Linked DNA regions of Daphnia pulex. Each later gene encodes a partner of the first gene's protein in a complex. Links are inferred from orthologs where the notes say so. Each region holds a gene or a part of one and is shown on either strand. Other genes may lie near its edges.

Region 1 (4,069 bases):
TATAAGAGAAAAATTCGAATGTATTTATGGTGATGTTCACAAACAAGGTAGACATTGTAGCAAAATATCCCTCAAAGTTCTCCGTAGCGCTTCATCATGGCAGTAAACATGAGTGTTGGAACCTTCCAGTTGAATCACAGTGTCCTCTCTTGGCTAAAAGACAAAATTGGAAAGACAAGTTATTACGACTCTTGAAATGACAAAATGATATACGGGGTAGTACCAAGTGAATGACGACGCCTCGAGGAGTGTCTTCGACCCGAGCATCTAGCAAACCATGTTGACTGAGCAAATGCAACAGTTGAGTTGTGTCAACAGAGCCCCAAGGATGGCGAGGCAGCATTCTCTCCGACGCACTGTACAATGTGCCTCCTTCCTCTTCGTTTAATACCTAGATTTGAAAATAGTAAAAAGCTATGAGACACTGTCACAAGTTAGGAGAACAAAGGACTCACTTTCAGAGTAAATTTATTGTCACGAGCATCCAATTTTCCAGTCAGAGTAGAAGCTGAAAGGCCCGTTTTAAATTGGATGGGTTCGAGACGAGAGGCCAGGGCCGGATCAAGATGCACTTTTTCCTGCTTCCTCTTAATTGGTAACTGTAACACCTGGTAGGACTTCATACCCAATGCTGGTGGATCCAATTCTAAAAAAAAAGAAAGAATAAGGTTAACTGACTGGCCAACTAGATCCAGTTCAACAGGAATCGATCGAAGACTTACCCTGAATAACCAAGTCTGATCTTAAGGGAGCCGACACTGGCGGGTGGAGGTAAACGTCTGGAACGAGTAAGTTTCCTGGCTTGAGATCGCGTATCAGTTTATTGGCTTGAGTGAAGCTCAAACTCGTGTCAATGGGACAGTGAACGATTTTCATGGTCAGTGGTTGATAGGGGGCCAGCGCTTCCAGGTAAGGGAAATCGGGTTCAACGAAGACGATACTGTGGTTGCTATGACTGCCCCATAACTCTATGAAGTGAACTACATTGCCAAAACGAAGGGAAGGATGACCGCAAAATACGACACATGGCTGTCTGTACTCGTTGGTGAATCCTTCGGCATGCAGGCTTGGGAAGTGTTTCAGTCGACCATTTTTGATGAGATGGGCGTGAGGAAATGGTTCTTCTGGGAGATAAACTTTGCTCTGCTTGCCTGAAGATAACCTATATGAAATGAGGATGATAAGTTGACTAAACATTTTCGGAAAAATAATAAATGTGACAAGCCGAACCATTCAGCGAAGATGTTGGAATAAGCCAAGGAAGTTTCGGCCACGGGAGAGAAGAAAAACAGCGGAATCTGACTAAGACCAATATTGTCTAAATGAACTGAGAGACATTCGAACAGATCGTAAAGAAGGCCGGAAGGGTGACATGGGACTAGGCAAGATCCGCCCGATCGTAACGTGGATGCTGCAAAAGGTTTAAGGAAACATTGTTAGTTTTTTTCTAATGTAATTTAATAGAATTTTACTATTTGAATTACCAACTGCCATGCAGAATTCGCCCAACATTGAATCTGGATTGGCCACGGGGGTCTGAGTCAACGCTGTCAAGATCAAGAGATCGGCATTTCTAAGGGCAACTTGATCCATCGGCCTGTATATGGAAAAAATGGTATAAAATTAATTTGTTAAAAAAGTAACACTAATTAAGCTTATAGAACCTTGGGTGGGTCGTGAGAGTAGATGAAGCGCTCACGTACGCAATCTTCTCATAGCCGGAATGAATGATCCAATTGCAACTACCAAGGGAATATCCAGAACTGACGGCCATCACAGTTAAAGCACCACAGATATCCTAAAAGTTGTCGGTTAATATTGTTTCATAAGAATTTTTTAAAAATCCGAAAAAGGACGTACAATTTTTTCGTTGAAGCCAACCATGCGAACTTTTGCCAGGGCTGCATTGATGGCTTTTGTGGAATAGACTTTCTTCCAATCATTTGGTCTCAGAGCCCCACTGAGAGGAGGAGGAAGAGACTGGAGTACTTGCTTCCATCTGTTTGCTCGCTGATTTTTGGGAGTCCTTTCCAAGTAGTTGACCAGTTCTTCCATGTAGAGCCTACGACAAAGAATACAATATAGTCTCAATATTGTGTGACAACAATTGCAGGTTGCATACCTTCCAATCTGCAAGGTGGGTTCAGTTGCATATACCCTCCCTTTAAAGCCAGTTTCTTCAGTGATGAATGGCAGGGCCAGCATGCAGGCATGATTCGATAGCAAGATGGTATCCACATCAGAGATGTCAAAAATGTCTGACTGAGGGGGCAGTATCTCTATTGGGCCATCCACCAACACTCGATTTTCACATTCTTTCAGTTCCTATACAGGATAAATGAACATTTGAAATGACACGAAGATAGAGAAGAGATCAAATCTAACTCACTCCATCAAGAAGTGCAGCATCCTGTGTGTCTCTCGGGATCCAGTTTGGTAAATTTGAGAGCCTTTTGCTGGCAACGAGAGGCAGAGGTAGAAAATGAAGGGCCGAGTTGATATCCAGCCCACAATCGAGCATCAGCGAAACGCCTTTGAAATTCAAGATGTTGCAGGGTTTATTTGGGTTGGCGCCCAGACTGTACTATGTAAACAGAAACTGTGTTTATCAGACCGCTCCATTTCGGTGAAAGGAAAATATTAAAATGCTTACGATTTTCATGTTGTGGGCGCGTTTTATCTGAAAAGTGACAAGAAAGAATTTTTATTTCAAACTCGGTATATGACAGACAGATCCAGACTTGTTTGTTTGTCCGGTTCGTACTTACTACACGAGCTGCTAGCAGACTAACATTTGAAAACCCAATGCAGCGTTGTCATTTTTCAACTTGAAAAGATAGGTTCATTTTATTTTATTATTTTATTTTTTTAAATAAGAGCGCCGGAACGCGAAAGAAATAAATCTAGAATAAAAATTGAAATCTGAATCACATATTCGCTTTTGAGAATGTGTATTGAATAACGCCATCGGATACGCAACAAACAAGCGAAACAAAAGAAGCTACAAAGTTACACACATTTTGTCAATGATTAAGAACGAAAGAATATTATATCACTCTATACAGTTTTGTTGGTTGTCAAAAAAAAAAAATTCGTCCATTTCGTCGATTGTGTTGCAAGACACGCCCTTATCAGTTCTCCGTCCAGTAGGGTGTTCAACTAAATCTTGGTGCAACCAAGAAAAAGGAACTTTCCAAAAAATCTAACCGGACTGGTGAATGATAAGGCCAAGTCATTGAACCATTTTCTCCACAGCGAGAGATGATACGTGATGCTCCTTCAGCTTCCGGTGTCGAAATGCCTCCTATATATATTTGATGCCCCTGCAACAACAGAAGAAAAAAAACACACACACAATAAAAAGAATCCAATAAGCAAGACCCAAGCAAGAAAATGAAGAAAACAACATGGTCGATGATCGGCTTGGCCTCTGTGTTTGGTCGGGAGTCTGCTGTGTGTCTGTGTGAGAAGAGAGAAATAAGAGCAGACACGGTTACTAAGGGGGAGAGAAAGGGAAATGAAATACGATGGGGGGGAACACAACACACACATCACAAATGGGTGTCGGAGACGACCAACGACTATACCCAAAGAGGGGAGAGCATTTTTCCTCTGTATATATATATATATACGTGAGCAAAAAGGAGAGAGTGAACGGTCTTTTACAAAATGGGAAACATCTGCCCGGCTGCTGGCCCTTTTCCCATATCAAAAAGGAAAGAAAAGAATGAAAAAGAGAAGCTTTTGTGTGTGTGTTTGATATATACCATGGGGTAGGTGGTAGTAGTAGTACAGTAGTGTAGTTGGGAAATCAAAAGAGCTCAGGGGCCTCCCCCCTTATTCACCAGAAATGAAAAAAGAGAAAAAAATGTCGATACTCTGCTGGGTCGGTTGAGTGATCTATCGAGAGAAGAAGAAAAATGTGTGTTCCAACACACGATAGCTGCTGCTGCTAAAGGCTCTTACAAGAAATTGAAGCCGGAGCAATGTGAGATGTGTCTCTCAACACTCGAAGAGAGAAAGAAGAGGAAGCAGCAGCAGCTTGCTTACGACGTGTTTGTTGTGTGTG
Region 2 (3,510 bases), on another chromosome or scaffold:
TGAGTGACGTCATGTTAAAAAAAGGCGAAGTAGCAGCTTCGCTTAGCTGGGAAGAGCTAATGAGCCGCTGTCAAGCTAAACTTTCAACAGTTTATGAAATGATCTTCCCAAACCAGTCGGCTCCCGTCATCGTGAAAGGAGAGTTGGAGCCAGTCGAGATTACCACGGCATCGAGAGCTGGCAACAAGAAGGTCACCCTCATCAGTGGCCTTGAGACGTACAGGATCGACTTGGACGAATTTGCTCGAAGGTACCAATGGTCTCACATTCTTTAGGTGAAGGGGTCTCTTAAAAGTAAGCGAATTTCTCTTGTCTGTTTGAATAGGTGCCAAGTAGGCGTGGCGGCTAGCACAACAATAACCAGCTCTCCAGCTAAAAAGGGTCAATTGGTGTTGGTACAGGGTAACCAAATTAGTTTTGTCGGAAATTTGCTCATCGATGAATACGGAATTCCCAAGTAATTTTTTTAAAACTAAATAATAAAATAATAGAAATAAATATTAACTTTACAAAATTTTATCTTTTTTCTAACAGGCAATTTATCCAAGGATTCGACTTAAAAAAAGCCAAAAATAAAAAATAATTTTTGCGAAATTGTATAAGAGAATGGAATCCGAAATAAACAACACGGAAAGATGGTGCCTGTTTAATATACAACCGACTATTTTCCAGGTTTCCGTTTTTCTTGCAATTTTGTGGCAGCCCGTTTCTTAATGTTCTGCAGTCGTTTATCGGCGTTAATGAGGGATGTGTTGCCAATAGTATTTCCAGATGAAGAATTGCTACTGCTGCTCGATGAGCTTGTTGACTTACTTGAAGCACCGCTGCCGCCATTTGGCTTCTGGGGCAAGGTTTGCTGTTTGCTGAAGTTAACTACCAGGCCGGCTGAGCTTTTGCCACTCACGGAACTCGGAGAGTCAGATCGACTTTTATAGAAAGTGATGGGACTTTCCCTACTGCTACTTGATTTAGGTCGACTAGCGGTCTTTTTCATTGACTTGCTACAATCGGAACAGAAAAAGACGGATCGAGGATCGTTAACTTCGGCGTCGCTAATATTCGGTTGGTGGCATTCCTGGTGATAAAGGCCGTGACATTCTTGGCACTCTACGAGCTGATTTCCAGAAGTAACATCCAGGCCACTGTTACGTAGAGAGAGGAAAAAGTTTGAATATTTTTATCACTATAACAAACAATAAGACTTACGTGCAAATAACACAGTGAAGATCCATAATTTCCTGAGCCAAGTCATCGGCGTCATTCAAAGAATCGAGGTCGTCGCTTTTTCGAGCCACACTTGGAGATCTCGAATTTCGTGGTGAACTAGGAAAATATAATTTTAAAAATAAAATTAATAAATAAGAAATCAAATGGAAAACACCTCCCAGCTGGTGAGCCAGGCTGTGAAGAACGAGGGGAATCTTTGAATTTCTTTGGAACAACTTCATCATCATTGAACATGTTATCATGTTTTCGCTTAGATTCCTTGTTTTTCTCAAGAACACTGTAATACAAGACTTAGTTAACTAGTATAAAGTTTATCCAAAACTGTGGATACATACCTAGAAGATGGAGATGAAGGTTGTGAAGATCGAGGAGATTCCTTCCTTCTTTTACTGAGAGGAACATCTTCATCAATGAAGAAGTCACTTTTCTTCTTTGTTTCCTGTAATGCAAGAGATTTAATCACAACAGCATAAAAAAAGTAAAAATATATTACCCTTTTGATCATCGTCAAAGGTGGTGGCAACTTGCTGACAGAAGAGTTGGTTTCATTCTTTAATCTTATGGCTTCATCCAACATAGATTTCAATTGGTCACCAGAATCTTTAGCACTAGAATGCAAAAGACTGATAGCTTTAATTAAATATGGTTCAATAAGACCATCCATTATCAAACTTAGAATTTAAAATATTAATAATAGTAAATATTTGTAATGAGTTCTTGGAGCTATTTTCAAAGCAAACCATTCACGACAGCACTTCTGTCCGAATCAACATCAACTTCAAAATAAATGTGAAGAAGGAAATGGCCCTCTGGTGGCAGATTCAATAAATTGTGCAATTTTATTTTCAACACTTTCTTTTTATTAATGAACAAAAAGTATGCAAATTTTGACACCAAATTTAATTAGCGCGCAATGTGATGTCTTATTTTTAAAAAAGAAAGAAATTCGGAGTTTTATCAAGAATTCTATAAATAGCGATAAGACTCAGCGATGACACCTAGCGGTAGTTTGCTAACGACGGCTTAGATAGATTTGTGAGTCTAGCCAGAAAGACATTCATATTCTGCTTCTGCACAGACGGACTCGCTGTTGCTGGTTTGGTTTTAGCTTTCGACGAGTTATTTTTTAACACAAATTTTTAGGATCAAGATAGCCGTTGTTCTTCTCTCTGTGATTACCTCACAACGAAAAGGAGATGTGTAGTTGATTTGGTGATTATAGAATCCGTTTGAACGATCGAAAGGTTACTAGTTATATCACGTCTCCTGTGATGATTACATATCAAAGTGATGTTATATGTGCTGTATGAGGTTCAGTGAGGATGTGAGGCCTGTTGGACACGGTTGTCGATTGTTTTCAAGTCGAGATAAAAGACATTTAGTCACCTCACAAAAGGGTGTGAGGGGATTTTCTAATTGACGAACAAATTCTTGGATTGTGCAAGCTTCCACCCCATTTCGCTTGCTGCCATGTCTACATTTGAGCCAGCCGACAGGAACAGGTAAATCATTTAAATTCCTTTTTAATCTCTAACAGGTCATTTGTTTCATTCCTTCATCAGCCAGAAGTTGGTGTGAATTTCTCAGGAAATTGCTGTTTGTTTGTGTTGGCTGCAACCACCAGATAACTTCTAGCTTCTAAATTTAGGTTTCAAGTAAAACCCCCCAGCCAGACGGTAAAGAAAAAAAAGGAAGATTGTTTAGAAATGAGAGAATCAGTGATGCATCCTGCATCCTCGATTTAGAAAGTCTCTCATATTGCCAATGTCCTTATTCTCTCTCTCAATTAAATGACTGATTCCTGACAGATGATGATCATGAAGATTAACTCCTCTACTGCCTTTTTCTCTACATCCTGCTGGTCGGTCCCCTCTCTCCCGTATATCCGGAGAGTCATCTAAGATAGGCCATGGATTTTCCGAGGGGTGGGCGTCGTGATAAATATTTAGATGTTGTATGGGGCAAAGGGGTGGTGGTAGAAACAGGCGCCGGTGGTAGATGACGCAGCTGGAATCTCGGATGATCACATATGTGTTGGTTTTAATACGAGTGAAAATGGCGACGCATTCCCGAGAAAGAAAAAAGCCCCAAAAAATGATGAAGTCTGGGAGAGGATGTGATGGTGTGGTATAGGAAGTGAGTGCGTGTATGTTGTTTGGAAGGGGGGAACACAGTGGTGAGAGAAGAAGAGGGAAAAAACGCGAGAGAGAGAAAGAGAGAGAGAGAGCCATTTAGATATGGCCGGATGCGCTCGACTCGGCCCGCCCGGCAGCGGTATGTACG

Evidence for each region. Proteins that work in one complex are often made in the same cells at the same time.
Region 2: integrator complex subunit 9-like (region 1) and integrator complex subunit 12-like share a complex: the UniProt entries of both Homo sapiens proteins name them as parts of the integrator complex. The link is inferred for Daphnia pulex from reciprocal best matches to the Homo sapiens genes INTS9 and INTS12.

What each region holds. Positions count from the first base shown.
Region 1 is NC_060027.1:3,457,078-3,461,146, forward strand, and holds the start of integrator complex subunit 9-like, read right to left. Parts: upstream 2,801-4,069; 5' UTR 2,663-2,800; coding exon 2,654-2,662; intron 2,585-2,653; coding exon 2,390-2,584; intron 2,326-2,389; coding exon 2,123-2,325; intron 2,063-2,122; coding exon 1,861-2,062; exon of another isoform or gene 1,799-1,860; coding exon 1,665-1,798; exon of another isoform or gene 1,598-1,664; coding exon 1,485-1,597; intron 1,421-1,484; exon of another isoform or gene 1,412-1,420; coding exon 1,231-1,411; intron 1,163-1,230; coding exon 723-1,162; intron 647-722; coding exon 456-646; intron 392-455; coding exon 224-391; intron 154-223; coding exon 37-153; 3' UTR 1-36. UniProt on the Homo sapiens protein: Component of the integrator complex, a multiprotein complex that terminates RNA polymerase II (Pol II) transcription in the promoter-proximal region of genes.
Region 2 is NC_060026.1:13,198,591-13,202,100, forward strand, and holds integrator complex subunit 12-like, read right to left. Parts: upstream 2,014-3,510; 5' UTR 1,892-2,013; coding exon 1,721-1,891; intron 1,667-1,720; coding exon 1,563-1,666; intron 1,505-1,562; coding exon 1,382-1,504; intron 1,324-1,381; coding exon 1,207-1,323; intron 1,143-1,206; coding exon 662-1,142; 3' UTR 584-661; coding exon of another isoform or gene 535-583; 3' UTR 501-534; downstream 1-500. Other genes in the region: eukaryotic translation initiation factor 2D-like, read left to right, coding at 1-250, 326-457, 535-583; adapter molecule Crk-like, read left to right, coding at 2,698-2,729. UniProt on the Homo sapiens protein: Component of the integrator complex, a multiprotein complex that terminates RNA polymerase II (Pol II) transcription in the promoter-proximal region of genes.